7 linked regions of the Oryctolagus cuniculus genome follow. The protein of the gene in region 4 interacts with the protein of the main gene of each other region in a pairwise test. Links are inferred from orthologs where the notes say so. Each region holds a gene or a part of one and is shown on either strand. Other genes may lie near its edges. The genes, in order: ZNF414, ING3, EFHC1, TEX11, CCDC198, SNX7 and DUSP21.

Region 1 (4,624 bases), on a different chromosome or scaffold from region 4:
CTTGGAGGCAGGACTGGAAACCAGGCACTCCGATAGGGGAAGCGGGCATCCTCACCACGCCACAACATCCTCACCTACACCTTACAACAGAGGCACAGGCACTGACAAGGCCTCCATTTGTCTTCGGCTCAGCCAGCACCTCTGGGATGGTTGAATAACGTGTTACAGAGATCTAAGCTGTACTGTCCCATCTCTCCCAGAGGGCCTCTCCTTCAAATGACCCCCACAGAGCCGATGGTAAGCCTCCTCCTGCTAAAAATTCATCAGTGGTTTCAATAACACAAACCACACCCTCTGTCTCCACTGCTCACCTGGCCCTGATGACCCATTCTGCACCGAGGCCACTTCCGGACCTCTGCACCCCGCCCTGGCCATGCACCTGCAGTGCGCTCGCCCCCCCACTGTTCCTTGGCAAAGACAAATCTGTCCCTGTTTCAGAATTCCGAAAATAGTGGGTGTTGCTGTAAGAACCCCCAAACCTGGGTCCGTTCACCCAACGCTCAGAAACCCAACCATGGACATTGGGGATTTATTTGCAAAGTGCAGAGCAAGGAGCCGGGCAGCTCTTGCTTAATTCGAGGGCTCCCGGAGGAGCTGGGATGAAGGTTCTGGTAGACTGAAATGGGGCTGACAGGTGCGTGCTCAGCTCGGTCCGTGCACCTCGCACCCTGGGGCAGTGGCGCTGGTGACCTTTTGAGTGGTCAGCGAGGTCGCGCTCCTTCGGGAATTCTCAGGGTGGCCAAGTGGGATTCAGCAAGTCGGGGGGGGGGCGGTCACGGGGAGCTGGGGACCTGGAGTCTCCCCGCCTGGACCTGGAATTCCTCTACACGAATCCCTCTGGACAGTACTGGCCAATAGGGCTTTATCTACCAGAGCAGCAAGTGCCTCCGTGGGTCTGGTGATCAGATCCCTGCAGCGGCCCCCTAGGGGCCTCACCTCCGGGACCTCGGCACCTGGACCAAGACTAGCCTGAAGACGGGCACTTAAGCCACCAGCTCAGCGGACCCCTTCCAATTGCCAATTTCCCCGCAAGGAGGTGGCTCAATCCAGGAGAACCGCACTTTGCCGCCTTTGGAGGGTGGGTGGCGGGACGGGCCCGAAAGGATGTCCATTTTGCGCCGACGACACGGAGACCAGGAGGGACCCCCTCATCCCGATCGCCGGTTCTCCGCAAGGCGCCAACCGCGCTCGCCCACAGCGGCGACCTCGCGGCTGCCCAGGGTGAGCCCATCTCAGGCCCCGCCCCTCGCGGGGCGCCTCGCGCAGGCTCCGCTCCCCCGCTCTCGCGAGAGCTGGGATTCGGAAAATGGCGCCGACGTGAGCTCGAGGCCGCAGCGCCGAGGAAGTCGCTGCCTCCTCAGCCCGAGCCGCCGGAACCGCGAAAACGAGAGGCCGAGCCAGGTTGAGGATGGTGAGCGCGGCGCCGGGGGCGCGGGCGCGGCGGAGCAGCGGGAACCGACAGGGAGCGTCCCTGCCAAGCACACACCCTCCGACCGACCCCGCCCCCACATCCGGGCACCAGCCCGCAGCTGGCTGTCACTCGGCAATCGCCCTACCCCTACTTCCGGGCCTGGTTTCGACACGGCCACGCCCACAGGGCTCGGGCTCCGCCCCTCTACTAGGCATATCCGGGCCCTCAGCTGCTCCACGTCCGTCTATGCAGCCCGAGGTTGGCGGGGCCTGTCTCCATCCTCAAACAATCCGCTTCTGGCCTCTCCAGCATCTTGCCTAGGGTTGTCCAGTCCAGAACCCCGCCTTCAAAGCCGCGGCCCCACCCCCTCCTGGGCCACGCCCTTTCCCTGCCTTAGGAATTGGGGATGTGTCTCATGGGCACAATTACCCCCACCCTGTCTTGTAGGTGCCTCCTTAGAATGGGGGTGCCAGGGTGACTTCTAGGTGGGGAAGGGGGTTCCAGAAATGTCCGGGCCTCGTGGGACAGGTTCCCTGGGGCGCACAGGAGCTCCCTCCCCCTCTTCCTTCCACCAGGAGGAGGAACCGTCGGGGCCCGGCCCGGACATACCGGCCACTGCAGAGCCCAGCTCCAGTGACACCGACAAGGAGGTGTTGGCCCCGGTGGTGGCAGCCACTGCCTCCACCTCCATGGAGGAGGCGCCGGGCCCCGACCGGGCAGCTACGCCCCCAGTGTGGCCCGCAGGGACACAGCAGGGTGCCTCCCCAGCCTCAGAGCCTGGACCCAGCCCTGGTCCAGCCGGCACAGCCCCGGGGACCAGTGAGGAGCTGCGGCCTCCCAGACGACGCCCAGCACCAGGTGACCTGTGATGGGGCCTTCTGGGAAGCCACGGGCCTGGGAACCACTGGAGTGAGGAATGCAGACGTGGGACGTTGGGGTCCAGCTGGTCTGCCCGAGGGATGCTTTTGCCCATGGACCAAGCACCAGCCAGGCCGTGTACCCTCTGGCGGCCCAGTATGGTGGAGGGGCGGGGCGGTGGGGTGGCTGGTGGTGTCCCTGGGAAAGGGACCGCTGACCACCCAGTCCTGTCATCCTGCAGGGAAGCAGATACCCTGCTCGAGCCCTGGCTGCTGCCTCAGTTTCCCCAGCGTTCGGGACCTGGCACAGCATCTTCGTACGCACTGCCCCCCCCCACAGTCCTTGGAAGGTAGGGCCAGGGTAGGTGCTCAGGAGGCCGGCAGGGCCCACCCCTCCGGGGGGCCAGCCTCAGCCACCCCTCTGCCCTCCGTCCCTCCAGGCAAGCTCTTCCGCTGCTCTGCCCCGAGCTGCACCGAGAGCTTCCCCAGCATGCAGGAGCTGGTGGCGCACAGCAAGCTGCACTACAAGCCCAACCGCTACTTCAAGTGAGAGCCTCACCCAGCCCGGGGTCGAGGGCCAGGCCCCTCGCCCTCCCCGCTTAGTGCCAAGGTGGAGGAGATGGGCGTGGCCTCGGGCGAGTCCCGCCCGTCTGAGCTGCCCATGAGAGAGAAAGGGCGGAGCATGCGTGGTTGGAAAACGCACCCCCTAACTTAAAATTGAGACCTCCTTCCGCGTGTTGCCAGGGCTCCAAGTCTGGAGGGGTCGCGGCTGTCGTGGGCGGGAGGTGCTTGGCGAAGCCCGGCGCCTGCAAGTGGGGGCCCTTCGCACGCTCCCAGAGCGAGTCCCCGGGTGGCACAGGGTGGCACACACGCACCTTATCACCGCAGGTGCGAAAACTGCCTCCTGCGCTTCCGCACGCACCGCTCGCTCTTCAAGCACCTGCATGTCTGCGCAGAGCATGCGCAGAGCCCCGCCCCGCCGCCGCCCCCGGCCCTGGACAAGGAGCCCCCAGCGCCTGAGCGGCCCCAGGAGCCTGACCCCGCGTCGGCGCCGGGCCTGCAGTTCCCGCTGCTCGAGCCCTTCACGACCCCCGCCCCGGCCCCCAGCGGGCCTTTCCTACCCTACTTGAACCCCGCGCCCTTCGGCCTAAGCCCCCCACGCCTGCGCCCCTTCCTGGCTGCGGCGCCCGGGCCACCGGCCTCCAGCGCTGCCGTCTGGAAAAAGAGCCAAGGTGAGTGTCGGGGGCGCGGCCTCCTGCAGGGAGCGGCGGGCTGGACTCCCCCTGACTGGACCTGACCCGCCCCTTTATCGCAGGTGCTGGCGGCAGCCCCCGAAGACCCCAGGGCGGCTCCGATGCGCCCTCAGGTGCGTGCAGGTGACCACCAGGGAGGGTTGGCGGGGCTTTCCTTCCTGCGCCCTGCAGGGGCAGTGCAAACTGGCAGGCATCTGTGCCCGTCCCGTTCCCAGGTGGCTAAAAAATGCCACCCCGAAATACAGGATTTTGCCTTAAAAACCACTGGCACCTGCGCCTTCCTCTGCGCCGGCGTTCCCGTGTGAAACTCGCGCCCGCCCAATCACCGTGGAGCGCTCCTTTCCCCACCTGCGAGGGTTCGTGGGCGCAGGGGCCGCGGATAAGCCGAGTTTACGGCGGTGATGACGGGCGGGAGAAACGGATCCAGCTAGGCCTGGCCGCCTGCGCACGGGAGCTGATGGGGAAGCGAGGAAAAGTCCAAGCCGCCGCCCGCGTCCGCCGCCCCCGGGCTAGGGTCGCGGGACTGATAGGGTCCCGCCTGCCTGCCCGCAGGGCACGCGGCTCCGGGCCGCATCGTGTGGGAGCACACGCGCGGCCGCTACTCATGCATGCAGTGCGCCTTCTCCACGGCCTCGCGGTCTGCCATGACCCTGCACCTGGAGGACCACCGCCCTGGCGCCCCCGCGGCCCAGGCGTCCGGGCCGCGCCCCGACGCCTCAGCGGGTAAGGCCAGGGGACAGCGCCGCTGCAGAGGGCGGGGGGCACAGGGGTGAGGCGAAGCCGAGGCTCACGCGCTTCCTTCTCCCCTTTCCCCCCCACCCCAGACCCGGCCCCGCTTGCACCCAGTGCGTCGCCGCTGCTGTCAGAGGGGGAGCTGCCAGTCTTCTCGCCTCTTTGATCCGGGCTGAGATGGGGGGCGGGCGGCGGAGTTGAAGAGTTTTGTGATTTGAGGTGGGGGACAATAAAAGAGGCGCGATAAGCCAGCCTGTGCTGTGTCTGGGTCCCTTGCCCTCTAGTGCACACGGGGCCAAAGCCCAGCAGCCCAAGAGCTCCCCCCCCCCCATCAGCTCACGCCGGTCGCACAGAAACAGGGCCTGTCCCTC
Region 2 (4,649 bases), on a different chromosome or scaffold from region 4:
ACACATACCTTTTTGATGGATGCCATTTGTTCTTCTCTCCACTCCGGCTTATTTTTCTTTGCATTCATAAAGAATTCACTGACTCTTTGTTCTAGTTGATCCATTGCATCTACAACATAATAAAAACATTCCCTATTTAGAAAACCACCATCATACATCAAATAGGCATGCTTTGTTTAGAGGAAAGAAAACAAATCTGACAATAAACACTGTTCCACTTGACCAATAACTTGAGTATGTTATGCTTCAGTTACATAAATACATAATGCTCACTTAACTTAATCTTTAAAAGTTACACATTTCCCTACTACTTATTTATGTTGTTTTTTAATTTTTTCCAATAATTAAACTAGGATTAACAAAGTGGATCAGAGCTAAACCACAGTTTTTGAAGAGTACAGCCTCAGGGGGTTGGGACACAGTCAATGGCTAGCGGTATTTAATCAACTGAATGTGCCCAACCACAGTTACTCACAGAGACCACCACTAAAATATCCTCACATGGCTTTTCATAAGAAAATCAGTAAAAAGTTTTTAACAACTGGCTCAATGGCACTAAGCATTCCATCATTTCATATCAAAGCTGAAAGCAGTAAGTACAACCATTTAGCACTTCATACACGATATTATTTATTCTAAGTAAGTTTTTCCTGAAGTATATGCCTAGAATAATGAATAGTTTTTCCCAAAAAGAGGAAAAATAAAAAGATTTCCATTGCTAATTAGGTTGAGGAAAATCTCTGTACTATACTCATCTTTTGGAGATTGCCAGTGCATAATCAGCTTTTTAAAGATTGAGAAGTCCCATGGTTAATTTATAAAAAAGTATTTTCCTTTGGGGTGCTGTGACATAGTAGAGTAAGCCTCTCCCTGCAGCACTGGCATCCCATATGGGCACCGGTTCCTGTTCTGGCTGCTCCTCTTCTGGTCCAGTTCCCTGCTAATGATCTGCGTGGGAGACCTGGAAGAAGTTCCCAGCTCCTGGCTTCAGATCTGCTCAGCTCCGGCCGTTGAGGCCATTTGGCGAGTGAACAAATGGACGGAAGACTTCTTTGTGTTTCTCCCTCTCTGTCTGTAACTCTTTTAAATAAATAAATAAATAAAATTTTTAAAAAAGTATTTTCCTTTAAGCATTCCCTAACTTACGTGACATATGGTCATTTTTGTTAATTCATAATACCTATTAACTTTAAAGAATTCTACTTATTGTTAAAAAAATGCTAGTTTAAAAAAACTTGTAGTTTGTACAAGCTAAGTTCAAATTAAGAGAATTTAAAATGTGTAACTGCAATGAAAATGTTTATAACAGAGCCACCCTTTCTTTAACACCTACTTTGTATCAGATATCATACATTCTAACTTATCTGTATTATTTTTAATTCTCATTGGATTCTCTTATTACAGTCAATGGAAACTTCTCAAAAGTGGTAATGCAGTCGATCGAGGTCAATGAGTCTACTGATAAAGCTATAAAATAAACGCAGATCTGCCCGACATCGAAGTCCACACTCCGTCCTACACAGAACTCTACTCAGCGTGTCACTGGCCTTTCACTACACTGCAGTTCAAACGCATGTTGTCAGCCAGCTGCAGAATCGTGCTTCTCACTTCCTGCCACGCTACAATCTAACCAACAGAAAAAAAGGTGGCTTTTGTGCCACATTCCCACTTGTTACGTGCTACATAAAACTGTGCAGAAGCTGAGAAAAGCAGAATCATGAACCTTTGGGTAGAGAATCCTAGGTGGTCACCAAGTAGACACACGGAGTGGATTGCGAAAGAAAGGTTCTTCAGCCACCTCGGGTAGTCTCTGGGCCACCTACTTAAGAGTCCTTGTCTGAGAAAAAGTCACCAGACTCGCAAGCCGTCACTGGAGGACAGGGAAGCCCGCTGCCAATTATTACCACTGACCAGCCTGGCAGCAACATCTTATCTCCCGCTCATTCTGCCTGGAAAAGAGGATCGAGCCCACAACTCCAAGCTTATCCTATAACGTGTGATGACACTCCAGGTTTGCCGGGATCTCTGAGGATCTACTCCTAAGCCGGGCTCTTGGACGTTTCGGAATGAACTCGAACAGAAGTACAAACAGATGCTGAAATCCAAGTTCGATCCATAAAGGCGCTGGTCAAAATCTCAGCATTTACGGGATCATCGCTAACCCACACCCGGTATTACCCTCATGAGGATATAAAACATTTTTTTTTTTTTGCACAGTCCCATTTCGAGGAAGCAATACATATACTCTAATGCCTTCTTATTTCGTCACAGGAAAAAAAATAATAATAAATGGAGCGTGGGAAGAAAAAAAAAAAAACCAGGCGCGATTTGGCCCTGCCAGCTCTTCTCCACAACTTAGGTGCCCGCGGAGCGCCGCGCAGGAGCGGCGGCAAGCAAGCCCGGCTCGGAACGCGCGCGGCGGACGCGGGCAAACGTGCCGACTTACTCTGCACCTGCAGATCCATCTCGCGCATCTCCGTGAAGCGGTCCCGCAGGTCCATTGGAAGCTGCTCAATCACTGTCAAACAAGAGTCCGTCAGAAGGGCGGGGCCCACAGCGAGCGTACGCGCCTGCGTCACTGCGTGCGTGCGTGCGTGCGTCGGGGGGGGTCGAGGGAGCGGGCAGCCCACAACGAGGCTGCCAGTTACCGTGAGAGAGAAACATCCCCCGCCTCCCCCTCCCTCCCGCCATCCCGCCTGCCCGTCCACTCGCGCTCTCGCCCGACCGCAGGTCCCACGGGCGGCCCCCGCCGGCGCCGCGCACTCACTTTCCAGATAGTCCTCTAGGTACAACATCGCGGCCCTTAGAGCTGGGGGAGCGAAGGGGTCCAGGGGTTTATTTGTGTCACTCGCTGTCGCCGGAGTTTTGTCCCTTCCAATATGGCGCCTCCGCTAGCAGCACCCGCTCGACTCCGGCGAAAAAAAAAAAAAACAAAAAAAAAAAAACCACTTTGGGCGCCTGACGGCGCTTGCCTCATTGCCGCCCGGCGCTGTCATTGGCTGGCTGCCGCAGTGACGTAGGCCGGCCAGGGCCTGCCCGAGCGCCTTTGTGGGAAGTGTAGTTTCTGTTCCTTCTGAGGCAGGGCGGCCGTGCCGCCCGTTCTGTGAGGGAAAACTACGGACACCAGGCGCCATTGCGAGCGGTGCGCGGAGGGCTCCGAAATGCGGTGCCTCTGTTTATTTGTTGATTTTGGCACAGGGGATGACGGGACTTGTATGCGCCGGCATCAGACAACTAGGAACAACTTTTCACCTGTTCTTTGCTGCGGTTCCATGCCCGGCGTTTGTGAGTCATGGGTTTCGCCTGGTGCTGGGCACACAAGCAGAGGTTCTAAACGCTAGCGTGATCAGCGAAGTTCGGGCGATTCCCATTGTTGCAGACAGAATTCGGTGCTTCAGTGTTGACCGCCGAAAATATAAGGGGGGAGGGAGGGACGTCTGCTTGACTCCATGTAGCCTTCAAATAGTTTATCAAACTGTGGCGTGTATGTGCACTCCCCGGATGAAAGGTGCTGGAATAGTCATCAGCGCCAGTTTAGACGAGAGTGGTTTGTTTCTTGTTTTTTTTTTTTTGTTGTTGTTTTTTTTTGTTTTTTCGGTCCAGCTCATCGTCATTGTCATCCTCATGTAATCTGTACATACAACCTATACCTGCAGCAACAACCAAAAAAAAAAAAAAAAAAAAAAAAAAAACCCTGAGCAGTCATAAGTAGCGGGTGGAGCCTTGATGTCTAATGAGCTGAACCAGCAATTTAGATTATGTTGAGTAAGTAGCATGTGTTAGAAGTCCTGGGCGTTGTCTTCCCCTACTTTTGGATTTCTCCCTGCCAATATTGACCGGTGATATATGTTAAGTGTGCATTGCTGAATTTATTTTAAAATGTTTTTCCTCAGGAGACTCTTACTCTAAGTGTTAGGTGGTGGTGTTTCCCATCTTTCTTAACTCTCTCCGTTTTTCAGGGAACAGTGTCGTCAGTGTGAGTGTTCTCCGTAGCCGCTCCTCTGCTCAGGGCTTTTCCACTGGTCTTAAGCAGGATGCTTGACTGTCCTGTTGATACGTCTCAATGGAAACTTACCTGGTCCTATTAAGAATTAACGTAGTTAATTTTACACACTTGAAGCTAAAATCTAGCACCTTCACTCTTCCTCCTTTCCACTTTCCCTCCCTTCCCTGCCCCTCTTTTCCATTTTCCCTCCTTCTGACTACTTTGAAAGATCTGCTTGATATTTTTGCAGATTCACTGGAATCTTCCTCTTCTCCCCCCTCCCACCCTACCTCTCTTCTTTCTTTCTACTTCCTCTCTTTCTTCAGCTTTAAAAAGCATGCTTTAGGATTTAAGGGAATTCCTGAAAGTCAGGATTGGTGTCCTGTAACAGTTCCAGGGAATTCTGAACGATTAGCTCTTCAGTGTTGCTTATTTCCCATTTTCTCCATTATCACTTAGAACATCTCTGAGACTTTTTCACTTTGTCCTTTGCCTTTCTTTAAATATTCTACCTCAAACATTTCAGATACTTGACAATTTTAAAAGTTCCATCGGATTCTCTTTTCAAGCCATTTTCTAGTTGTTGATAAAAATTAAACACGTATCTGCTCTATATTCTGTTTCTGTTAAATCCAGAATTGAAAATTTTATGGCTGTTTTGGGG
Region 3 (4,864 bases), on a different chromosome or scaffold from region 4:
GGAGGGGGGACATTGGCTAGCAGCAATAGCAATACTATGCTTATTTCTGATATCCAAATGCTTCCAGAAAATCTGTCATTCCTCCTGCTGTTAATCATTCCACATCTATGCTAAGGGTTCTCCAAAGAAAAAGTAGGAGGGGTGTTTGTGTGTGTGTGTGGGTGGGTGGGTGTTGAGTATACAAGTCTTTAAAATATTCATGGAAAATATGCCATTACTTGTAAATTTCATTAACTTTCTGAAATACCCTCATGTGTATTTGAGGAGGACAGACATTGATTGACTATAAGGAACTGCTTCACACAGTAATGGTGGCTGATAAGTCCCAAGATCTGCAGGCTAAGCTGGCAAACCTCAGGAGAACTGAGGGCGTGGTTCAAGTCCAAATGCCAGCAGGCTCTGGATCCAGGAAAATTCAATGCTTTACTTTAGTGTAAAGGCAGGAAAAGGCCATGGCACAGCTTGAGGGCAGTCTGATGGGAGGAATTCTCTCTTGCTTAAGGGAGGGTCAGTAGGTCTTCAAGTGACTGGATGAGGTCTACCCACACTAGGGAGAGCAGGCTGCTCACTTCAGCTTGACCCAATGTTCATCTCATCTGGAACACCTTCACAGAAACCCATGGCCCAGTCAAGTTGACATATAAAATTAACCATCACAATACCTCTACCACTCCAAGTAAGGGACAAGTCTTAGATCATAAAAGGTCTAATTTAATTTAGACTTCAGTAGTAGTAGTGAAATATAAGAACCAAAACAGAAATATAACTTCAGGGGCTCTGGACATGCCTCTGTGGAGAGTACAAGATCTATTTCAAAGTGTTAGTCCAACATCAAAAAGTTGTATTCTCTCATTGGCCAGATCAGTTTGAGAAAGCACGCACAAAATTATAGTAGTTAATCTTGCCTTCTCCATGAGAGCAAATCCGGATTAACTGCAAAAGAGAGCAGAAAAAACAGGTAAAAACCAATATGAGGGCTTCCTTCAGCTTACCTGCAGTGTACTTAGGCATGACAAACCCTACCTTGGTAAACCAGTTCCGAGTTTTCATATCCTCAGTTGATGCTAAAATGATCCTATGAACCTGGGAGGTAGGTTCAGGCATTACCCCAATTTTACACTAAATAAAAACAAAGCTTCAGAGAATACGCCTATCCAAGATTTTGGGACCAACATCCAGTATTTATGAGGGCAATGTCATTTTTAAAATCTTTTTTGTTTTTATATTCAAATTCAAGTCTTTGTCCACCCAGCCTATGAGGAGTGAGATTACTGAAATGCCAGGCTTCTTTAATCACAGGCAAATAAAAGAGTCTAGTAATGTCACTGCTAAAACCATGTCCCTAAAGCCTAACTGGGCCTGGTAACTGACCTGTTGCGGTTATCTTTATATGACATATGAGGATCCACCCCACCCACCCCTTCCCGGTATCACTTCCCAGTGACTGCCATTCATCCCTTGCCTCTCGCTTCCCGTGTCAGAAAGTATGAATGACTTGAAAATCAAAAGCTTACCATGCTGTCAATCTAAGATCTGGGCAGCTAAATGGGTACTTGGCCCACATGAACAAATACTTGTCTCAACTTGACTGTGAGTCCCCTTGGCATCTGCCCCTCCAAGATCACCTCTGATGCTCTCCTTTTAGCCCTGACACGTTGATCTACCAATAACTCTCTGCTGTCTAGTTCCCGGCCCTGCCACAGCCACAGCAATTACAAAAGAATGCACCTACTAGAACCGGGGGCAGTTATCATAATCAGGATAAAACAGGAGATCTGGTCTGAGTGTCCTAAATCTTTCTGGACTACAAAGAAATACAGATGTAACTGCCTTTAGGAAAGAATGATCAGTGCGCAGCCTCTGCCACCCACCCAGAGCAGTAGTAATTCATACTGACCTCCTTAACCAGGGAGTCATCAATCGGAACATTAAAAGATTCACAGATTTTAAAGAACGTCTCTCTGTCCACATAACCTGAAGCTTCCTTGTCACAAGTCTGAAACGCTTCACGAATGTTGTCTTTGCATGAATAATCTTTCAGCTGCTTCTGGATTGCGTCTATTAATGCTTCTAGTTCCTGCACGCCTGGATCTTCTTCAGTTTGCTTGCTGTAGAGAAAGGAAGGAAATGACTCGACATGGTATTTATTCTTGACCTATCTTATCTCAGCGACTGAAGTTCTCACTTGATGAAGTCAGGGAAGCTTCTAATGACAAACAGCTTTGACGCTGAGCTGACCAATAACCAAACACTTGACGGCAGAGGCTGGCTGTTGGCTGACGTCCACGTCAGGAAAGCCTCACTGGGGGGAGTTTTGTAACGGCCTCTCTTCCTGCCATCTGTGGAATCACTGCACCACAGGAGCCAGATTTGGTATTTGCAGGAATCACATGACTGTCTCTACTGCTGTTACGGATGAAGGTTCCCTCATCTAAAACTAAATGCCCGTGAAAGAAAATATGTACATAATGATGCAGCCAGGAATCTTTCAGTTCTAACAGTCCCTCTTTAGTCCACGCTGAATTCTGTGAAAAGCTATCTATGGCAGTTAAGCGACTGCTCCGTGTGATGGAATGAGAAGCCGGGCTCAGCATTTACTGCAAAGATTAGTAACAGAGCTTTAGGCAGGGGGAGCTCTGCCAGTCCCTTCTAAACACAACCACAGGAAGTAGAAGTTCAACTTTTATTTTCTCTGAAAGTGAAGGTACAGTTACAAAATGAAAGAATTTTAGAGCTGGAGAAGACTCACTCATATTTCATCTTCATAAATCCTTTAAGAGCAAAATGGACCCTCATGGGCTCAGCCAGCACTTGTCCCCTTCCCAATCACGAAAAAACAGACTCTAAGACTCGGTGACTCTCCCTAGATCATGAGTCAAAGCCAAGACCAGAGCTCAAATCTCACTCTACTTCCAACACGCTCTTTCAAGTATGCCCAAGTATACCTCACACAGAATTTGCCTCCTTCCATCATTTCAAAACTATCAACCCACCATTGCTTTTCTGTCCTTTATTTTCTTGCATGTGCTATTTAAAATGTTGACTGTTACCAACAGCCTCTTTCATCTTATTTTTCCTTTTTTTGTTTTTAGATTTTTTTATTTATTTGAAAGGCAGAGAGAGAGAGAGATAATCTTCCACCCGCTGCAAATGGCCCAAATGGCAGCAGCGGCTGATGCTGAGCCAATCCAAAGCCAGGAGCCAGGAGCTTCTTCCTGGTCTCCCACGTGGATGCAGGGGCCCAAGCACTTGGGTCATCTTCTGCTGCTTTCTCAGGCGCATTAGCAGGGAGCTGGATTGGAAGCGGAGCAGCTGGGACTCAAACTGTTACTCATGTGGGATGCCAGCACCAAAGAGGCTATGCCACAGCCTCAGCCCCCTTATTTTTCCTATTTACGTGCTGGCAGATACTGATGGGAGAGCGTATCATTCCTTTTTATATTTATAACAACACCTGAGGCTAGGTGCTTTATAAAGAAAAGAGGTTTGTGAGGTTCAAACCTCACAGTTTGTGAGGTTCAATGGCATGTTGCTGGCATTGGCTGAGCTCTGGTGAGGACCTCATAGTGGAAGGTATCACAATGGCAGAGCCAGAAAACAATTTGCTGGTCAGGCTCACTCTACAAACTTTTTATGAGAATGAACCAGGTTCCCACAAGAACTGCATCAGTTTCTTCAGAGGACAGCACTTGCAATGACCTAATCACTTCTACTATGCCCCGCCTCTTAAAGGTTCTATTCCTCCCTTAAAGGGTCCAAGCTCCCAATACATAAACCCTTGGGGGCTATACTCAATCTTATCCAAACCACAACAGAGAGGTATAAAGTGGTATATAATCTTTCTGGAAGTAAGGAGGAAAAGCTCAGAAAACAATTTCAAATAACTTGACCTAAGGAAACAATCCTGGATTATGTGCAAGGAGACATCTATAAGAGATTTTTGAGATAGCCTGAATATCCCAAAATAGGGAATTAGTTAAATAATTGACACTACAATCAAGCAATGGGATAATAATATAGTCATCGACAGTGCTGGAGTAGAAAGCTACTTTGTCAGTGAGGAAATCAAGAGGCAAAAGTATGTGGAGTGCTACTTTTTTGTGCAAGTTAAAGTAGACTAAGATAATATATCTATAAATAAATCTAAGTAAATATATAAATAAATTTGCCTGCATTATGTAAAGAAACCTTGCTAAAATATTTAAAAAGCTATTGAGAGAGACCGTTATGGGACAGGGAGGAGGAAGTGGGGGGGGGCGGATACAGTGGGAAGAATTACTATGTTCCTCATATTGTATTTATGATATATGTAAAAATAAAAAAAATGGGCAAGCGGGCCAGCATTGTGGCACAGTGGGTTAAACCAGTGCATGCTGCACTGGCATCCCATAGGGGCGCCGTGTCCTGGCTGCTGCACTTATGATCCAGCTCCCTGCTAATGGCCTGGGAAAGCAGTGGAAGACGGCCCAACTCCTTGGGCCCCTGCACCTACATGGCAGACCTGGATGAAGTTCCTGGTTTCTGGCTTCAGTCTGCTTCAGCCCTGCCTGATGTGGCCATTTGAAGAGTGAACCAGCACATGGAATATCTCTCCCTGTGTGTCTCTCCCTCTCTCTCTTTAACCGTGCCTTCCAAATAATTTTTTTTAAATGGGCAAAAGACTTGAACAGATATTTCTTTAAAGATAGATATAAAATGGTAAACAAATAAAAAATATGAAACAAAAATGTGAAAATATGTTCAAGATGATTAATTATAAGAGAATGCAAATCAATTCACAGTAGGATATCATCTTGTACCCATGACGATATCCACTATTTAAAAAATGGGGTGGGGGATTGTTGGGCTCACTAATTAAGCTGCT
Region 4 (3,539 bases):
TAGGCAGCAGGAGGCTGTCACCCCCTGCACGGGGTAGACCCACCTGGGACATGGGATTTGGCTCTTGGACAGAGAGCTGCCCTGATCAGGTGAGGAAGGAACAGCTTAGGGGTCTGACAGTGCCTAACTTGAAGAAGAGAGGAAAGGGCCAGAGGAGAGGAAAGGGCCTGGCTTCTGTCCCCAGCTCTCCGAGGGGCATTTGGGATGGAGAGAGCACATTTATCATTGGGAGACAGATTTCTGCTCACATAAGAAAGGGCTCGCTCCCAGACAGCAAAAAAAAGTGGCTTGAGATATCTTGGGAGTCCCCTAGATGTGTTGTTGTTATTGTTTAAAGATTATTTATTCATCTGAAAGAGAGAGAGAGAGAGTTGACCCTCCATCTGCTGGTTCACTCTGTGGGTGCAGGGGCCCAGGCACTTGGGCCATCTGCTGCTGCTTTCCCAAGTGCATCAGCAGGGACTTGGCTCGGCAGTGGAGCAGCTGGGACTGGAAAGGGTGCTTGGGCATCCCAAGCAGCGGCTTAACCGGCTGCACCGCAACACCTGCCCCATGGATATGTTCTCAGACACATCACCGGGTTCTCCAGGATGTCACAGAGACATTTCATGGCTCAGACAACCACCGAGCTCCTTCCAGTGAAGAGTTTATGGTTATTTATTACTTTGGGGTAGTGGGCATTTGAGACTTTGGGAACACAATGCTATTTGTGTTGTACTGGGATGAACACCATGAACACCCTGCTTTGCTCACTTGGAGCATAAAGCTTTTTGCTCAAACATACGCTATTTTAATGTTTTGGAAAATTCATTTGCACCCTAGAAATGAGCTGATCACTGAGGTCAAGGTCAAAATGCTTTTATTTTCAAGAATCTCAGTTACGAACATGAAAATGACACCTGAGAGAACTGAACCAAAGACTCAAAAGTCTAGCAAAAATGCAAACATTCAACTTCGCAGTGTCGTCAAAAGGCTTGCCCGCTCGTGTGCTGTGCTGCAGTGGGTCTCACTCTCCGGTAAAAGCCGTGTCCCTCTTCTCAGACAGCGCTTGCATGAGCTCACTGCTCAGGATGTTCATCTGGGGAAGACAACACAAAACAGGTTTCTCGAAAGGAAAAGGAAATGTGGGAAAGCGTCCCAGACCTATGGCGATGGCACGAAGGCCAACCCTTCTCTTCTGAGACCGGAGGGGCCACTCTGAGGGTGAGGGGGTGCGGAGATAAAGCCCCCTCTTGAGGAAGAAGGTCCCAATACAACTAGGCCTGTTTGATAGGGCCAGGGCGATCACAAGGAAGATGGTGCTTAAAATACAACAAAGAGGGGCTGGCGCTGTGGCGTAGCAGGTAAAGCCTGCAGTGCCGGCATCCCATATGGGCGGCGGTTCGAGTCCTGGCTGCTCCATTTCCAATGCAGCCCCCTGCTAATGGCCTGAGAAAGCAATAGAAGGTGGCCCAGCCGGCGCCGCAGCTCACTAGGCTAATCTTCCACCTGTGGTGCCCGCACACGGGGTTCTAGTCCTGGTCGGGGCGCTGGATTCTGTCCCGGTTGCCCCTCTTCCAGGCCAGCTCTCTGCTGTGGCCCGGGAGTGCAGTGGAGGATGGCCCAAGTGCTTGGGCCCTGCACCCCATGGGAGACCAGGATGAGCACCTGGCTCCTGGCTTCGGATCAGCGCGATGCACCAGCCGCTGCGCGCCGGCTGTGGTGGCCATTGGAGGGTGAACCAACGGCAAAAGGAAGACCTTTCTCTCTCTCACTGTCCACTCTGCCTGTCACCCCGTGTGGGAGACCCGGAAGAAGCTCCTGGCTCCTGCCTTCGGATCGGCGCAGCTCCGACCATTGCAGCCATTTGGGGAGTGAACCAGTGGATGGAAGGCCTCTCTTTCTGCCTCTGCCTCTCTGTAACTCTTTCAAATAAATCAATAAATCTTTAAAAAAAAAGATCCTTGGTTTTTATTTGGTAACAAGGTTTTTTTCTCCACTAAATCTCTCCTGGTTAGCTAATGGCCCAGAAGCCTGCAACTGAGAAGAGTTCTGGGAGAAAACACTGGTTGGAACCAGTCACTGCTTTCAGTGAGGACACTCCTCCCCCCAAGCACTGGCATGGACAGTGCTGCTTCTCTCCAGAGCTCACTCCTGCTAGTCTTCATTTGCTGAGACTAAGGTCCCCCTTGTTCTGTATCCCTCCCGGTTCTCACTGTGGTTTCTTTTTTAAAGATTTATTTATTTGAAATGCAGAGTTACAGAGAGAGAGAGAGAAGAGAGAAGAGAGAGGAGAGAGACAGAGGCAGACACACACACACACACACACACACACACACACACAGAGAGAGAGAGAGAGAGAGAATCTTCCATCCTCTAGTTCACTTTCCAAATGGCCACAACAGCCGGGCTGGGCCAGCCTGAAGCCAGGACCCTAGAACTCTACCCAGATCTCCCATGTTGTTGCAGGGGGCCAAGCACTTGGGCCATCTTCCACTGCTTTCCCAAGCAAGCATATTAGCAGGGGGCTGGATGGGAAGTAGAGCAGCCAGGATTTGAACTGGTGCTCATATGGATGCCAGCATCACAGGCGGTGTCTTAACCTGCTGCGCCACAATGCCAGCCCCCTGGTTTTCATTCTAAGAAGTGACTGCTTATGGTTCCAAAGTGACTGCTTATGAAATTACAAAGGTACTTCCAAAAGTTTGCAGAAAATGGAATTAAGAGGTAAGTTTACTTTGGTACAAAAATTTTTGAAATCTGCATGCAAGGGGTCTTTTCCCAAAGTTTATGGAAAGTGTGTATTATGAAAAAACTATGCTTGACTTTCAAAATTTTCTTTGTGCCCCCAAAAACCTTATTTTTAATTCCATTTTCCAAAAACTTTTGGCAGTGGCCTCACATAGGGAACTACTGAGAGGAACAGGGATCAACCCTTTCCTGGCCACGGGAGGGAGGGGTCAGTCTTTCTGGAGGTCCTGCTGTAGCCTCTCTGCCCCGAGGTCATGCCAGCCACCCCAGCCTCTCCTTCTTCACCTGAACTTCATAGGTTTCCTTGAGGGAGCCCAGGTGGCAGACGAAGCGCATTGCCAGGGTACACCACTTCTCAGAATTCACGTACTTCTTCTTGCTAAACATTAATATCGCAGTGTTCCAGGACTTGGTCATCAGCCAGAGAACCTCCATTTCTGGGTAGCCTTCCTGAAATCCAAGAACAGTGGGTGTTGGGTCGTTCTTGCTGTCACAGCTCACTGCAGCGCCACCTGTGTCCCTGCCGCAGCCCGTTCCTGTTAAACAACAGGTGCTGCTGATACGCAGGGAGCCCGTGCTCCTGGAGAGCAGGAGGAGAGCGCCTGGAAGCGTTGTCAGCTGTAGAATATTCCACCGTGAGATGTCAGGAAGGGACATGTGAAGTGCTAAAGCAATAAGGCCCTCTGTGACTGAAGGAAGTTGCGGGGGGCGGGGAGACCCGGCATCGTGTATGAGGCCTCCCTTGATGCTGTCTCCAGACAGTTATGTTCCCAGTACCTGCCTCAACTGTTCAGACATTATCAAGAAAT
Region 5 (4,719 bases), on a different chromosome or scaffold from region 4:
GTCTTCGGGGTGGATGCCTTTTAATAATACTTGTTTCTCCCTGTTCCAGTGGGATGTCAAAATACATGGCCTGGGACACTTGAGAGATTGGAAGAGAAACAAGAATATATAATTAAAACCCATTTACCGCTAAATCAGGCAAAGTGATCATGAACTGATACCACAATTTTGTACCTTTTCTATTATATTTTCCAACCTACATCTTGAATGTGGAGGAAAACACACAAAGCAAGGGCCCTACTTGAATACAAATCATTAAAACTTAGTCTTGCCCAAAGACTTGATTTCTGATTCCTTATTTCTGCCTCTGGTTTAATTTAGAGGGATATCAGAAAAATTAAAATATTTTCACTACAAATGCTGTTCAAATATACAATTTGGCCTGGAAAATAGAAACATATTGATTTGCTTTAATTCCAGGAAATCTTCCCCCACCCCACATGCACACAAATAAGAAACCAGACAAAATATAGCTTTAACAAAGGAAACTAATTGTCTTTTCAGATTAGATAGATGGCAGATAGGTAGTTGGAAAGGTGATTATATAGGTGGAGAGATGATAAAGAAATGGAGCAGGAATGTCTAACAAGAGTGTGCAATGTTGGCATTGCTTGAGGATAATCAAATAATGCCCCCAGCCCCCAACCAGGGAAAGAGATGCCCAGAAGTTACCACAAAATACGACATATCAGTATTCTTTTCTGATGCAGCAAGCCAGGGCTACAGAGTTAAGCCTCTGCTCAGAAACAGAGAGACTTAACAGATCCACTTTATTTTTTAGCTTGATTATCCTGGGCTCTTGCATTTGCTACCATGACCAATGCTAAATGGATGGAATTTTTGTCTTCCCTTCTTAACCGTCTGCATGCACACTGATTTCTAGATTGTTGCATAGACTCTCCTACAGTCCTAGCTTCTTAGTTTTAAAAAAGTTATCTGAAAGAGAGAGAGAGAGAGAGAGGAGAGTGCTTTCACATGCAGATTCACTCCCTAAATACCCACAAGGACTGGGACTGGAGCTGGAAGCTGGCAACACAGTCAAGGTCTTCTAGGTGGGTGGCAAGAAGCTAATTACTTGGCAGCACCACTGCTTCCTAAGGTCTGTATTAGCAGGAAGCTGGAGTCAAGAGCAGGAGCTGGGAACTGACCTCAGGTACTCCAATATGGAATGCGGATGTCTTAACTGCTTCCTGTTTTGTGAAAGTATGTGTCTCTCCTTATGACATTTGAAGGACTGCTTTCAGGATTTTGTTCTTTCTGATTCTTAGTAGAATGGAAATTGTGCCCTTACTTCCTTTCAAAAGGATGCTGACACATGGAGCAGGGCAGAAACAGCAGCAACAAAATATGGGATTTTAAAGAGCAGATATTCTTTGAAATTTATTTTCAGCAGTTTGACTACTCCTGACTTTCCTACGATGGTGTGAGCGATATCACCCCATTGTTCAATTTGATTGTCCTTAAATGGCACAGGCTGTGTCAGCCAATTATTCTGATTCCTAATTATAGAAGAAGAAAATTGATGCAGTATCTTGATCAAGGTCATACAATTGGCATTTGGTGAAGCTGGAGTTAGGCTATGGACTCCTTGAAAATAATGTTCAGAATGCTTACCTATTCCTTGTATGATGAAAAAATTTTTTTTTAATTTCAAAAATAAACACATTTTTCCCAGTAGCAACTAGAAAGCACTAGAATCTGTTTTCACCACTGAGCTGGCAGAATCTTAAAACTCCAGATAGGGGATTTTGTATCAAAAAAGGAATTCTTCACTGAAACTAAGAGGGAAATTCTCCCTCATGTATCTAAGACATTGGTGAACATAAAGGACACGGAGACCGGACCACACAGAGCCTGAGTGTCAGCTGGATTGAAAACAGCCATGCAAATCGCTCTGAGCAAGTTCTGCAAGGTTGCAAAAGAGAATATACGATTTTCTGACCAAGTCATCTGGTAAGGAGCGTTATACTTGTTTTACTGATCCAGAATATGAATAAATGTATACATTCATGTGCATTATAAGTACATGTTGAGCTTTCCAAATTAAAATGTCTATTTCATTCATTGCAGTCATCAGAAAACATCTTACGTCTCTTATAAAATATTTCAAGGTAGTTTATAGCCCTGTTGGGCTGAGAGCTTCCAGTCATAATGGGACAAGTTCTCTTAGTTCTGTGGATGACCATCAAGAGTCTGGGTTAGAGAAGGGGGGACTGATCCACTCATATGGAATGGATCCATGCTATTTGTAGTGGCTTTAAAATTCCCATCAGAGTGGATTCACTCGTGAAGTGCTACCTTCAAAACCACAAACCCAACTGTGCCAGAGACAAGGATTTAAATTTCAACTGTAGCGGAAACATGTGATTACTATCATTTATCACATCAGGATCATATAATTTTAATCTCTGCCAAGGCTAGGTGTAGACACTGAAAGCACTATAAACTGAAACAAAATGAGTTTTTCTTCTCTTAGGCAGTGGTGAAAGGATCTCCCCAGCTTCTATTTCTACTCCAAGGCACCCAGAATACTTTAACTTGACCATAGTCAATCCCCTTGAAAGATCCCTTGCAGATCAGCGACTTAGTAGCATTATGTAGTAGTAGATTATGGAGACAGGTAAATCTATCAACAGCTCTCCTTGATCCATACACACGAAACTCCTGCTGCATTGGAGACTCACCTGTAGAATATCTTCCGTACCAGGTTTCTCGTAGAGGTGGCAGTGGTCCTTCCAAAGCTTTGTTCTGGTCCTGCAGTCTTGGCAATGAACATGAGCTCTTTTCTTCCAGGTTCTGTTTGATTGCGAAGTCCACAGGGCCTGCCGGGGCAGTCTCTTCCTCTTTGTTTCGCAAAGGTGCTACTTTGATCACCCTAGGGTGAGACTTAGAGTGCCTCAGACCCATTTCATGTGAAAGACATTCAAGGGTAAACCACAAGGGAAGTGGTTTAGGTTCTTTTAATGCAGCTTATTTTCATCAAGGTATTTCAGAAGTGTACTTGGCTTTAAGAACCAGTCATTTCCTCATGGCCTCTTTCTAGCTCTGTTTCACCACACACTAACCCCTCTGGCCACTGCCTGGGAGGTGGTTTCCATGGAGACTTCCCTTCAACTCCCACTTTGTCATTTCAGAGCCAAAGAATCCAGTTAAATATTGACTTGCTTATATTACTTTCTGAAGAACTCAGTGATAGGAAGAGAAACACCACTGATCATTTAACAAATATCTAACACAGAAAGGCCATGAACAGAGATGTAAAGCAAAGATGTATGGAGGTCTTTTTGTTTTTTTAACTTATTTTGAAAGTCAGAGTACAGAGAGGGAGGGAGAGACAGAGAAAGCCTCCATCTGCTGGTTTACTCCCCAGATGGCCAGGAGTTGAGCCAGGAGCTTCTCTCAGGGCTCCCACGTGGGTGCCAGTGGCCCAAAAACTTGGGCCATCTCTCACTAATATTCCCAGGCCATCATCAGGGAGCTGGATGAGAAGTAGAACATCCAGAACACGAGTTGGCGCCCATATGGGATGCCAGCATCGCAGGCAGCTGCTTTACCCACTTGGCCACAACACTGGCCCTCTGTGGGGATGGGGTAGGGGTGTCTTAAACCTGACCCTTTACTGCAGGTATCTTGGTAAGAACTAACAACTGAGAAGACCAAGTCACCTTTAGGAACAGAGGGATGCATGCTAATCATTGAAGGCTTTGTTAATCTTTAATTTTAGTGAAAGAATTTATCTTCCAAAAAGGACAGGAAATGGCAGAGTGATTAAATCTTCACTTGATTTTTTTTTTCCTGCCAATGACTTATCTTTGAAGGGAGTGAATTTGTGTATATTACAGGAAGTAGAAAGTCAATAGGATTTTTTCCTTTGGGGACAAGGGGACAAACTTTTTGAATAAATGGCCCAAATGAACCTAGAATTGTTACTGGTGAATGACAGGGTTCTTGTCTTCACGCAAGAAAGAATTCAGGCGTGAAACAGAGTAGTGGAAAATAAAGTAGCAAAGTTTATTAGGGAAGGGACATCTGTAAGAACTGATGGGCACCTCTCCAGACAGAACCTGAGAGAGAGCGCCCAGTTACTTGGACTGGGAGGAGGAGCGAGGTTACATGGTTGAGTGGAGAGAGTACACCTGGGCAGGCCAGGCAGGCAGCTCAGCAGAGAGGCAGAGGGCTGAGCGTACCTTCTGGTTGAGGCCGGGGGTTTTTAAGGAGATGGGTCTTTGTCTTCACACATCTCCTCCTGAAACAAAGGATTTTATGGATGTAAATATTAAGAAGTTCCTATCTGAGTTTTCCCCTAAAGGTATCAGAGAGGAGGAAGCAGAGTATTTGAAATGCAGATACTGGGCTGCATCTGGAGGACTGTGGAAGATTGTCAGGCAGAAGGGGCGGGGACCCCCACCTGGCAGGTTATCGGGTAGAAGGGGGCAGGGCAGGATGCGAATACTGGGCTGCCCCTGAATACTGGGCTGCCCCTGAACCGTTATCAGGATGACTTTGAGATGCAGATGCATATGCTGGACATAGATGTCTTTTCTTTAGGCCTTTGTCACACACACATAAGCTCATATCTGACTTCCTACCTAACAGAATCTTCAAAGGTGACTTATATACTATGTTTAAAAAGGTAGAAAAAGAAGAGTGGAAGGGAATGTGTTGATATATTGAGTAGTGATTATTGAATGGTGGGATTATAGATGATTTTTATTTTAA
Region 6 (4,194 bases), on a different chromosome or scaffold from region 4:
GGCTCCAAGCTGCTGGCTTTGGCCTGGCCCAGTGCTGCAGTGCTGGCTGTTTCAGCCATCTGAGGAGTGAAACAGCAGATAGAAGATGTGTGTGTGTGTGTGTGTCCTTCTTTCTCTAGAACTCTGACTTTGAAAATAAATTAATAAACCTAAAAAAAATCCTCATTGATCATAATGAAATTGAAGTAACATTGGTAATATGAAAAAATATATTAAAAAAAAAAAAGCAGGGCCAGGCACTGTGGCATACTGCAGGCCAGCAGTGCCTGTATCCCATAAGGGCGCCGATTCAAATCTCGGCAGCTCCACTTCTGATCGAGCTCTCTGCTGTGGCCTGGGAAACAAGTAAAAGATGGCCCAAGTCCTTAGGCCTCTGCACCCGGGTGGGAGGCCCAGAAGAAGCCCTCGGCTCCTGGCTTCATATCGGCTCAGCTCTGGCCATTATGGCCAACTAGAGAGTGAACCATTGGATGAAAAGACCTCTCTCTCTCTCTCTCTTTCTCCGTGCCTCTCCTTCTCTCTGTGTGTAACTCTGACTTTCAAATAAATAAATAAATCTTTTTTTTTTAAAAAAAAGCATGAAAAGAATCCTGAAAACTACCCACGCTAGTTTCGCATCTGGTAAAATCATTCTTAAAACACTGAAAAGAGATTACATTACTCCTAGTTTCAGAGAACTCAATAGAAAGTCAACTAATTATCACAAATTATTTTATATTTACTTCAAAATTTGGGGGCCCTAATACCAAGAAATCCCTTTCTTTCCCTAATCCAAATAACTAATCCTAGAATTTTGTCCCATTTACTGAAGGTTTATTTCCATAAATTTGAAGCACTAAGGTTCATATGCATATATGTATTTTTTGAGTAAGAGGTTGCTTCAGAAAACAACCAATGAAAATCACAGATTTAATCATTCTTATCGAGGTATTACTTTTCATATTTTAGCTCAGATTGAAGAAAACAAAGCTAATACAAAACACAAGAACTACAATATAAAAACCATTGCTTATATCCTAGAAGTCAAAAAATAATTAGATCAAATGAATATCTATACAATTATTCTTCCTGATCGCTATGATAGCTTTCCATAGGTTTAACAACAAGATTGAAATTGCATAACTTTGATCTTGACATCATATAGAAGAAATAATTAATATAATAAATAAGGAAAGACAATGTATAAACCAGTTCTTTTTGAAAACCACAGAAGAGGGTGATCAATAATGAATAAAACCATGGGATGTAGCCAAGAAAACTGATGGAGAGAAGCCAACTCTTGTGCAGTGAAACGTTAGAAGCCTTGCAGAAGCAATTAGGGTTTATCATAGGAGGCTCCAATAAAGTCAAGTTAAAGCAGAAGCCTGAAATGTCCTTGTGATATTTAATGACTCTGTCAAAGGAAACCTACATATGCCTAATGCGAGAGACAGAGACAGAGATCGATCTTAGGCATCAAGGCTCACACAGCTTTCCTTACCAAGAAAAGTTTAAAAAGTTAAAAAACAAACAAACAAACAAAAAAAAAACCCACAACCTAGAAATCAAGGGCTCAGGACAACAGAGACCAGACATGCCTCCAGTTACTGAAAGGATAAGGGCTGTATGTGAATGCAAGCTTGTTCCTTCCTTTACTGTCACCCTAAAACACCAGAGACTTAAGGGTGCTAATTTGGCTGTGCAAAGTACTGCTTGCCCAGGATAATACTGGAAGAAAAACATCAAGTTACAGATATTAGTACTAAACCCCAAATACCTGGAAACATTGACTTGAACTAAGGAGGTAAATGCAAAGTTTTCATATAAAAGGAATAAAAGCCTTTTCAAACAGTGAAAGAAAAAACATTTGAAGTATTTCTGTTCAGAAGCAACCACAAAGCAGAAAAAACATCAAAATCCTACACAAGTACTTTTCACAGAATGGTACTAAATATATTGCTAAATCAAATGTAACTAAAAAGAAGAAAGCAAGTCCTTTATGAAAAAGAAATTTTTAAGATGATTAAAAAAATAAATAGAATTTTAAAGATTAGAAAAGCTAACCATATTCCTAGGTAAATCCTGATTGAGGATGCTTCAAATCTGTATATACTTTAACAAACCCTTGGTGCTGCTATTGAGCAATTCTATTTTGATTGTCTTCTCTAATTGATGTATTCACTCTCACCATGAACAAATATTTATTGAGCATCTATATGCAAAGCATCTTGTTAGAACAAGAAGACAATAATGCGGAAACAGAATCAGAAATTGCGTGTGGAGCACTTATAAGCAGGGAAGAGACTCAAGTAAAATGATAATTATGAGTGTTCTTACCATTAAGATTTCACTATAGAGCACGTACTCATGTACTGCAGGAAGCAGGGCCTCTGAAAGTCCAGACATCCGTTTTTCAGTGGCCTTACAGCATTGGTCGATGCAGCTGGCCACACCTTTTAGAGTGTCAACCAAATCTTCTTCTGACGCTGACCACAGAACATGAATGGGGCCATATTCTTTCATTTCATCAAAATACTCTAAAACAAAATAATGGCTTAAGTCCTTCAATTTGGAAAGGTTTTCAGAATCCCAATGGCATGGACAGTAACAAATGACCTTGTTTCTCTCACTATGCACATATTTTTACATGTGAACCTAAGAAAATGAGATCATCTTTTATCCTAGTGATTGACCATTCCAGTCTGCCCAGATCAACCTTCAAATGAATGACTACTGTCAATAACAGCATCCCTTTTCTGTACTTGGAAGACAAATGATAACCATATCAGTCATGGACTTCTCTGCCTACCACATAATCATACCTGGGTGTCTCATAGGCAATATGCCCTAAACAAAACTTTGCTTCTTTATCCCTTTCTTCTTATTGCATATGTCACTATACAGAAATCCAAGAAAAACATTGGGGATGGGGTCATTCTAGACTAATAGTTGCACTCAGCCAATCAATCAAGTCTAATATTTCTAGATCTCTATTTATCGTCTATGGACTACTTGCCTACCTATTTTGACTTCTACTGCCATCAGCATCTCTAATTTGCACTACTTCTAACTAGTCTCAATCTCTCCATTTTTGTCACAATGTTTAAACAATGTAGCTTCTTATTAATTAGAAAGTCTTTTATGATCAGTCTTCTACCTGCCTCTCTAGGTCAAACTCTTGAGATTCTCTGCTAAATATATTTTGACTTAAGCCAAAATAACTATTCATTCATGAATAACTCATGATTTTTCCTCACTCAAACATTTGCATGTATCCCTCTGACCCTGTAGCACTTCCATCACCCAACAATCCACTTCTAATCCTTTAGATATCAGTTCAAATAAACCTCCCCAATGTTGTTTCAAAAGATTCTTTTTTTAAAATATTTTATTTATTTATTTGAGAGGTACAGCCACAGAGAGTGAGAGGGAGAGACAGAGAAAAAGGTCTTCAATTCGTTGGTTCACTCCCCAAATGGTGTAATGGCCAGAGCTGGGCAGATCCGAAGTCAGGAGCCAGGAGCCTCTTCCAGGTCTCCCACTTGGGTGCAGGGACTCAAGCGCTTGAGCCATCTTCCACTGCTTTCCCAGGCCACAGCAGAGAGCTGGATTGGAAAAGGAGCAGCCGGGGCTAGAACCAGCGCCCATATGGGATGCCAGTCCCATAGGTGGAAGATTAAGCCACTGTGTGTGCCACAGTGCCAGCCCCTCAAAAGATTCTTGGTCTTTACTCAGTGAGCCTATTGAACTTTACACCTTTATTAAAGCATTATCCCATTCTATAGTAATTGCTCGCAAAACTCACATACTCCTAGGCCATATGCTCCTTAAAACAAGGACTGAGTCTTATTATTTTTGTATCTCAAAGGTTGATATATAATGTATTGAATAAATATTTTCATATCAATGAAAGAATGAATGAATAAGTAACCAAAGTATTCAATGCTTGATAAGTCACGTACTCAAAAATTTGGAATTCATTTTAAAACGTGAATATTTTTACATTTTTACATTCACACTATCAACTTTTAGAGATATATAGCATTTCAGGGTAAAGAATTTATAAGCGGTGAGCAATTTTGTCCAATATCCATATATATCATTATCTATATTTAAACATCTTACTACTCACTAGAATTTGTGAAATCTGTCATATTGCTCTAAATTAAGTCATTAAAACTTTAAAAAGTTCTCAGCATGCTCAAACAGCTGAAA
Region 7 (3,253 bases), about 20 Mb from region 4:
TCACAATGGAGGAGGTTTCAGAGGTGACAGGGCCGAGTCATGGCTGCCAACTACAACCTTGCAAGCCAAGGCCCAGGAGAGGAACCCCTGAGGCCTGATGTCAGACCTGGTCTCTCAGCGCAGGCCCTGGGAGAGGGGCTAAGGCCCCTTTTCACAAAGACTGGTGGGGGATTGCCAAGAGCACCTTGAGACCTTACCATACAGCATAGCACTCAAGACATGTTTTTAAACTTTATAGCATAGAGTGGTTTCTTCAAAAACTAGTATATAAGTCCAATCTAGAAGACCAGAGTTGGGCCACTGTGGTTGATGGCAGCAGCTCCCAGCGTACTCCTTGAAAGGTCACTAATCCACTAGGTTAGCACTTACTGCAAAGAAGTGCAAAAGGAACCAGGATGTCTAAGGCTCTGACTTTGCCTCAGAAAGAACCGGGGTGAGTTTCTGCGGGACTCAATCCTGGGTTAATCAGCCTCAGGCAGGGCTCAGAATTCCTGACGCTTTTAGAGCTGCTAACAGGTCTGGGGTGGGGGGTTGGGGGGGGCGGGGAGGCACTCAAGTCAGGACAGGGCAGGATCAATTCCAGCCAGGTCCCAACAGCCCGACCTGCCCTTCCCAAATGAAGACATATGTCACAAACTTATACATAGTGATTTTTATTCTTTAAAGATAAGACTGGCATATTTAAAATTCCAACCCCCCTCTGTCTTTTGTTGCCCATCAATAGGCATTGTTGGCCAGGGACATCCGGGTGGGCTGAGTAGCTCACATCTGCATCATCGACTGGACTTCTTTGTGGTAGATGTCAGGAATCACACCCACTGGCGAGCTGATCATTTTTACTGTGTTCCTGCTGAACAGTTTGAATTCATAATGGATCAGCTGTTCCCAAAAGCCGTTGTTGGGCCGGATGATGGGGCGACGCGTCTTGGTCCAGGCGTGGGCATCCAGCAGGGTCATGGCGTGGTATTTCATGAGGTACGCAAGGCAGAAGGTGGCTGATCGACTCACTCCCGCAACACAATGTAGCAGCGTTCGGCCCTGCTTCATGTCCTCGCTGTGGATGTGAGCAGCAATAATATCGAAAAAGTTATAGATGTGTGAGTTGGGAGTATCGGTCACAGGTACCTGCAAGTATTGGATGTTGTCGTAGAATGTATTCACCACCTCCACTGAAGCGTTGATGACCGTGGTGATGTGATTGCTAGACAGAAGGAATTTGTTATTGGCGGCCACCCCACTGCTGATGTAAAGGCTGCGGGTTATCTGGGAGTGGCTGTGGATGAAGGGCTGCCCCGCAGGCGAAGACGAAAACCAGCTTCGGGAGGCTGTCATCATGGCGGCAGATCTGAGGTCTCTGCTCACGTTCGGGACACCACCCTCGCGAGTGAGTTCCGGAAAGCAGTCTCCAGCATGGGCTTGGGAGAGAAAGGACTGGTCACAGATCACCACTCCCTGCCTCTCTGCTCCTCTACCCTCGCTGACGACAGAATTCCGTTAATCTGATGCTCTGGTTTCCACGGCGATGGCCACTTCCGGCTGGGAGGACACTATCACGTGCTCATCAGAAACCGTTCCCCCACTCCCTTCCCCATCTCTTTTCTTCTCATCTTTCTTCATAGTTGTTTATTTTCCAAGGCCTAATTCTGGTCTTTTTTGATTTTATAAAGTATTCTGTGACTACACACCTAATTTTAAACTTCTGTTGTTTGACTACACTGAATACAGTATCTGCAAGTGCATCCATTTCATTAGCGTTGAGGAACAGGGTCTAGGTTTCTAAACTGAGGCTCAACATTTGGTTCACACGATGTGCTAATCTGTGCAACTGTAGCAACATGCGAGGCTGGGTGAGCTGGTCTGATACTTCTTTATTGACTGTAACGGTAGACTTAGGCTCCTGCTTACAAACACAGGAGGGATGGTTGTTAATTGTTACACAACCCTTTATCTAATGTGAAGTTGGCTTGTGGTGGGCAGTGGTGACTGATTTAGCTGTGGCACACCCCATTTATACATAGATCCAAAATGATGTTATCACTTGATTCTACTTTATGACCTTGAACCGAGAACTCAAATTATCTTGTCTACTTTCTTCAAAAAGAATGCCCACATACTCTGTAAACTGCCAGGCACTCTGACCACCACCAAAACCTGTCTTCTTAGTAATATTAAACATTTTGGGAACAAGTTCACACTCCATTGTAACTGGGCCAAACACTGATTTTTTTTTTAATGCTGTTTCCTATTTGTGTTTCCTTGTAGTTAAGTTTCATAAAGGTTGACTAAAAATTGAAAATCACCATAACCTAAAACTAACAGTCAGCCAAGAGACTCATATATATATACTGCCTTTTCACTCCACTGTCATTTTGGCTTGTGTGCAAAGGTATGTTGTAATTATGAGCAAAGATAAATAGATGTCGCCCGTTTATGACGGTCAAAGACATGATAACTTCAAGACACAGCACCTTTTCTTGTTCTCAATTGTCACAATCAAATTACTTTTGCATTACTTACATTATCAGTCCCCACAAATCTATCTGAAAGAAAACAGAACACAAATACAGAATAAACATAAAAGCTGCCTGTTGAGGACAGCTCAATTGGGCTAAAGTTATTTTAAAGGGTTCAGGTGTGAGATGTGACATTAGGAGGAGCCTTGTAATCTACAGAGTAATGTAGAGGCCCTAAAAAGAGTAGTAGAGGCTAGTTAGTTCATAAACATACACCTCTTCACTTTAAAAATGTTGTAAACTTAACCTGAATAATTTAAGACACGATTCTCAAAGACAAGCTGTCTTACTAAAATTCCACTGTGGGGCATTCCCTGGGTGGATGAGGAGTTGTTGTTTCCTCCCCCTGAGTCTGGAAACAGGTCAGTTTTAGACTCCCACTTGTCTCTGCTTTTCCTGTAAAGAAAATGTATAAGGGACTTTGCCCAAAATGCACTCTCTATCCATCACTTGGAAAAGACCTTGGATGTTAAGAATCAAGTAGTCAAGGCCCTTTCCAACCTGACCTAAACATGCCTTTCAAAATCTCATTCACTCATTTATTTATTAGACATTTATTAAGCCTCTTTTGTGTGCCAGGCATTTTCACTGATACAAATCCTTAGTTCGGACTACACAGATCAAATGCTCTTGGTCGATGGCAAACGTACACCCCTATTTCCTTACATTTACTCATGAGAAACCGCATTCCTCTCTGCTTCCTGAATCCTATCCAGGCTTCAGGACTCAGCTCCATGATT

Evidence for each region.
Region 1: the proteins of TEX11 (region 4) and ZNF414 interact in binary tests that used the Homo sapiens proteins (3 or more experiments, as listed by UniProt). The two-hybrid records come from large-scale screens. The link is inferred for Oryctolagus cuniculus from reciprocal best matches to the Homo sapiens genes TEX11 and ZNF414.
Region 2: the proteins of TEX11 (region 4) and ING3 interact in a two-hybrid assay, tested with the Homo sapiens proteins (2 studies listed by BioGRID). The two-hybrid records come from large-scale screens. The link is inferred for Oryctolagus cuniculus from reciprocal best matches to the Homo sapiens genes TEX11 and ING3.
Region 3: the proteins of TEX11 (region 4) and EFHC1 interact in binary tests that used the Homo sapiens proteins (3 or more experiments, as listed by UniProt). The two-hybrid records come from large-scale screens. The link is inferred for Oryctolagus cuniculus from reciprocal best matches to the Homo sapiens genes TEX11 and EFHC1.
Region 5: the proteins of TEX11 (region 4) and CCDC198 interact in binary tests that used the Homo sapiens proteins (3 or more experiments, as listed by UniProt). The two-hybrid records come from large-scale screens. The link is inferred for Oryctolagus cuniculus from reciprocal best matches to the Homo sapiens genes TEX11 and CCDC198.
Region 6: the proteins of TEX11 (region 4) and SNX7 interact in binary tests that used the Homo sapiens proteins (3 or more experiments, as listed by UniProt). The two-hybrid records come from large-scale screens. The link is inferred for Oryctolagus cuniculus from reciprocal best matches to the Homo sapiens genes TEX11 and SNX7.
Region 7: the proteins of TEX11 (region 4) and DUSP21 interact in binary tests that used the Homo sapiens proteins (3 or more experiments, as listed by UniProt). The two-hybrid records come from large-scale screens. The link is inferred for Oryctolagus cuniculus from reciprocal best matches to the Homo sapiens genes TEX11 and DUSP21.

What each region holds. Positions count from the first base shown.
Region 1 is NW_027208201.1:4,535,212-4,539,835, reverse strand, and holds ZNF414 (zinc finger protein 414), read left to right. Parts: upstream 1-1,417; 5' UTR 1,418-1,657; coding exon 1,658-1,669; intron 1,670-1,986; coding exon 1,987-2,269; intron 2,270-2,510; coding exon 2,511-2,618; intron 2,619-2,708; coding exon 2,709-2,814; intron 2,815-3,156; coding exon 3,157-3,500; intron 3,501-3,583; coding exon 3,584-3,634; intron 3,635-4,073; coding exon 4,074-4,244; intron 4,245-4,345; coding exon 4,346-4,419; 3' UTR 4,420-4,504; downstream 4,505-4,624. UniProt on the Homo sapiens protein: May be involved in transcriptional regulation.
Region 2 is NC_091434.1:156,936,192-156,940,840, reverse strand, and holds the start of ING3 (inhibitor of growth protein 3), read right to left. Parts: upstream 2,995-4,649; 5' UTR 2,796-2,994; coding exon 2,768-2,795; intron 2,519-2,767; coding exon 2,447-2,518; exon of another isoform or gene 1,724-2,446; intron 110-1,723; coding exon 9-109; intron 1-8. UniProt on the Homo sapiens protein: Component of the NuA4 histone acetyltransferase (HAT) complex which is involved in transcriptional activation of select genes principally by acetylation of nucleosomal histones H4 and H2A.
Region 3 is NC_091436.1:117,480,027-117,484,890, forward strand, and holds the end of EFHC1 (EF-hand domain-containing protein 1), read right to left. Parts: intron 2,109-4,864; coding exon 1,898-2,108; intron 934-1,897; coding exon 862-933; 3' UTR 691-861; downstream 1-690. UniProt on the Homo sapiens protein: Microtubule inner protein (MIP) part of the dynein-decorated doublet microtubules (DMTs) in cilia axoneme, which is required for motile cilia beating.
Region 4 is NC_091453.1:50,428,553-50,432,091, forward strand, and holds the end of TEX11 (testis-expressed protein 11), read right to left. Parts: intron 3,181-3,539; coding exon 3,016-3,180; intron 1,079-3,015; coding exon 1,007-1,078; 3' UTR 843-1,006; downstream 1-842. UniProt on the Homo sapiens protein: Regulator of crossing-over during meiosis. Involved in initiation and/or maintenance of chromosome synapsis and formation of crossovers.
Region 5 is NC_091443.1:19,294,980-19,299,698, reverse strand, and holds the start of CCDC198 (factor associated with metabolism and energy), read right to left. Parts: upstream 3,097-4,719; 5' UTR 2,908-3,096; coding exon 2,685-2,907; intron 79-2,684; coding exon 1-78. UniProt on the Homo sapiens protein: May be involved in tuning the metabolism, energy expenditure, and excretion processes.
Region 6 is NC_091438.1:71,768,630-71,772,823, forward strand, and holds part of SNX7 (sorting nexin-7), read right to left. Parts: intron 2,517-4,194; coding exon 2,317-2,516; intron 1-2,316. UniProt on the Homo sapiens protein: Involved in the regulation of endocytosis and in several stages of intracellular trafficking. Together with SNX4, involved in autophagosome assembly by regulating trafficking and recycling of phospholipid scramblase ATG9A.
Region 7 is NC_091453.1:30,605,402-30,608,654, reverse strand, and holds DUSP21 (dual specificity protein phosphatase 21), read right to left. Parts: upstream 1,483-3,253; 5' UTR 1,336-1,482; coding exon 763-1,335; 3' UTR 656-762; downstream 1-655. UniProt on the Homo sapiens protein: Protein phosphatase component of the sperm flagellar doublet microtubules. May act as a regulator of sperm motility by mediating dephosphorylation of sperm doublet microtubule proteins.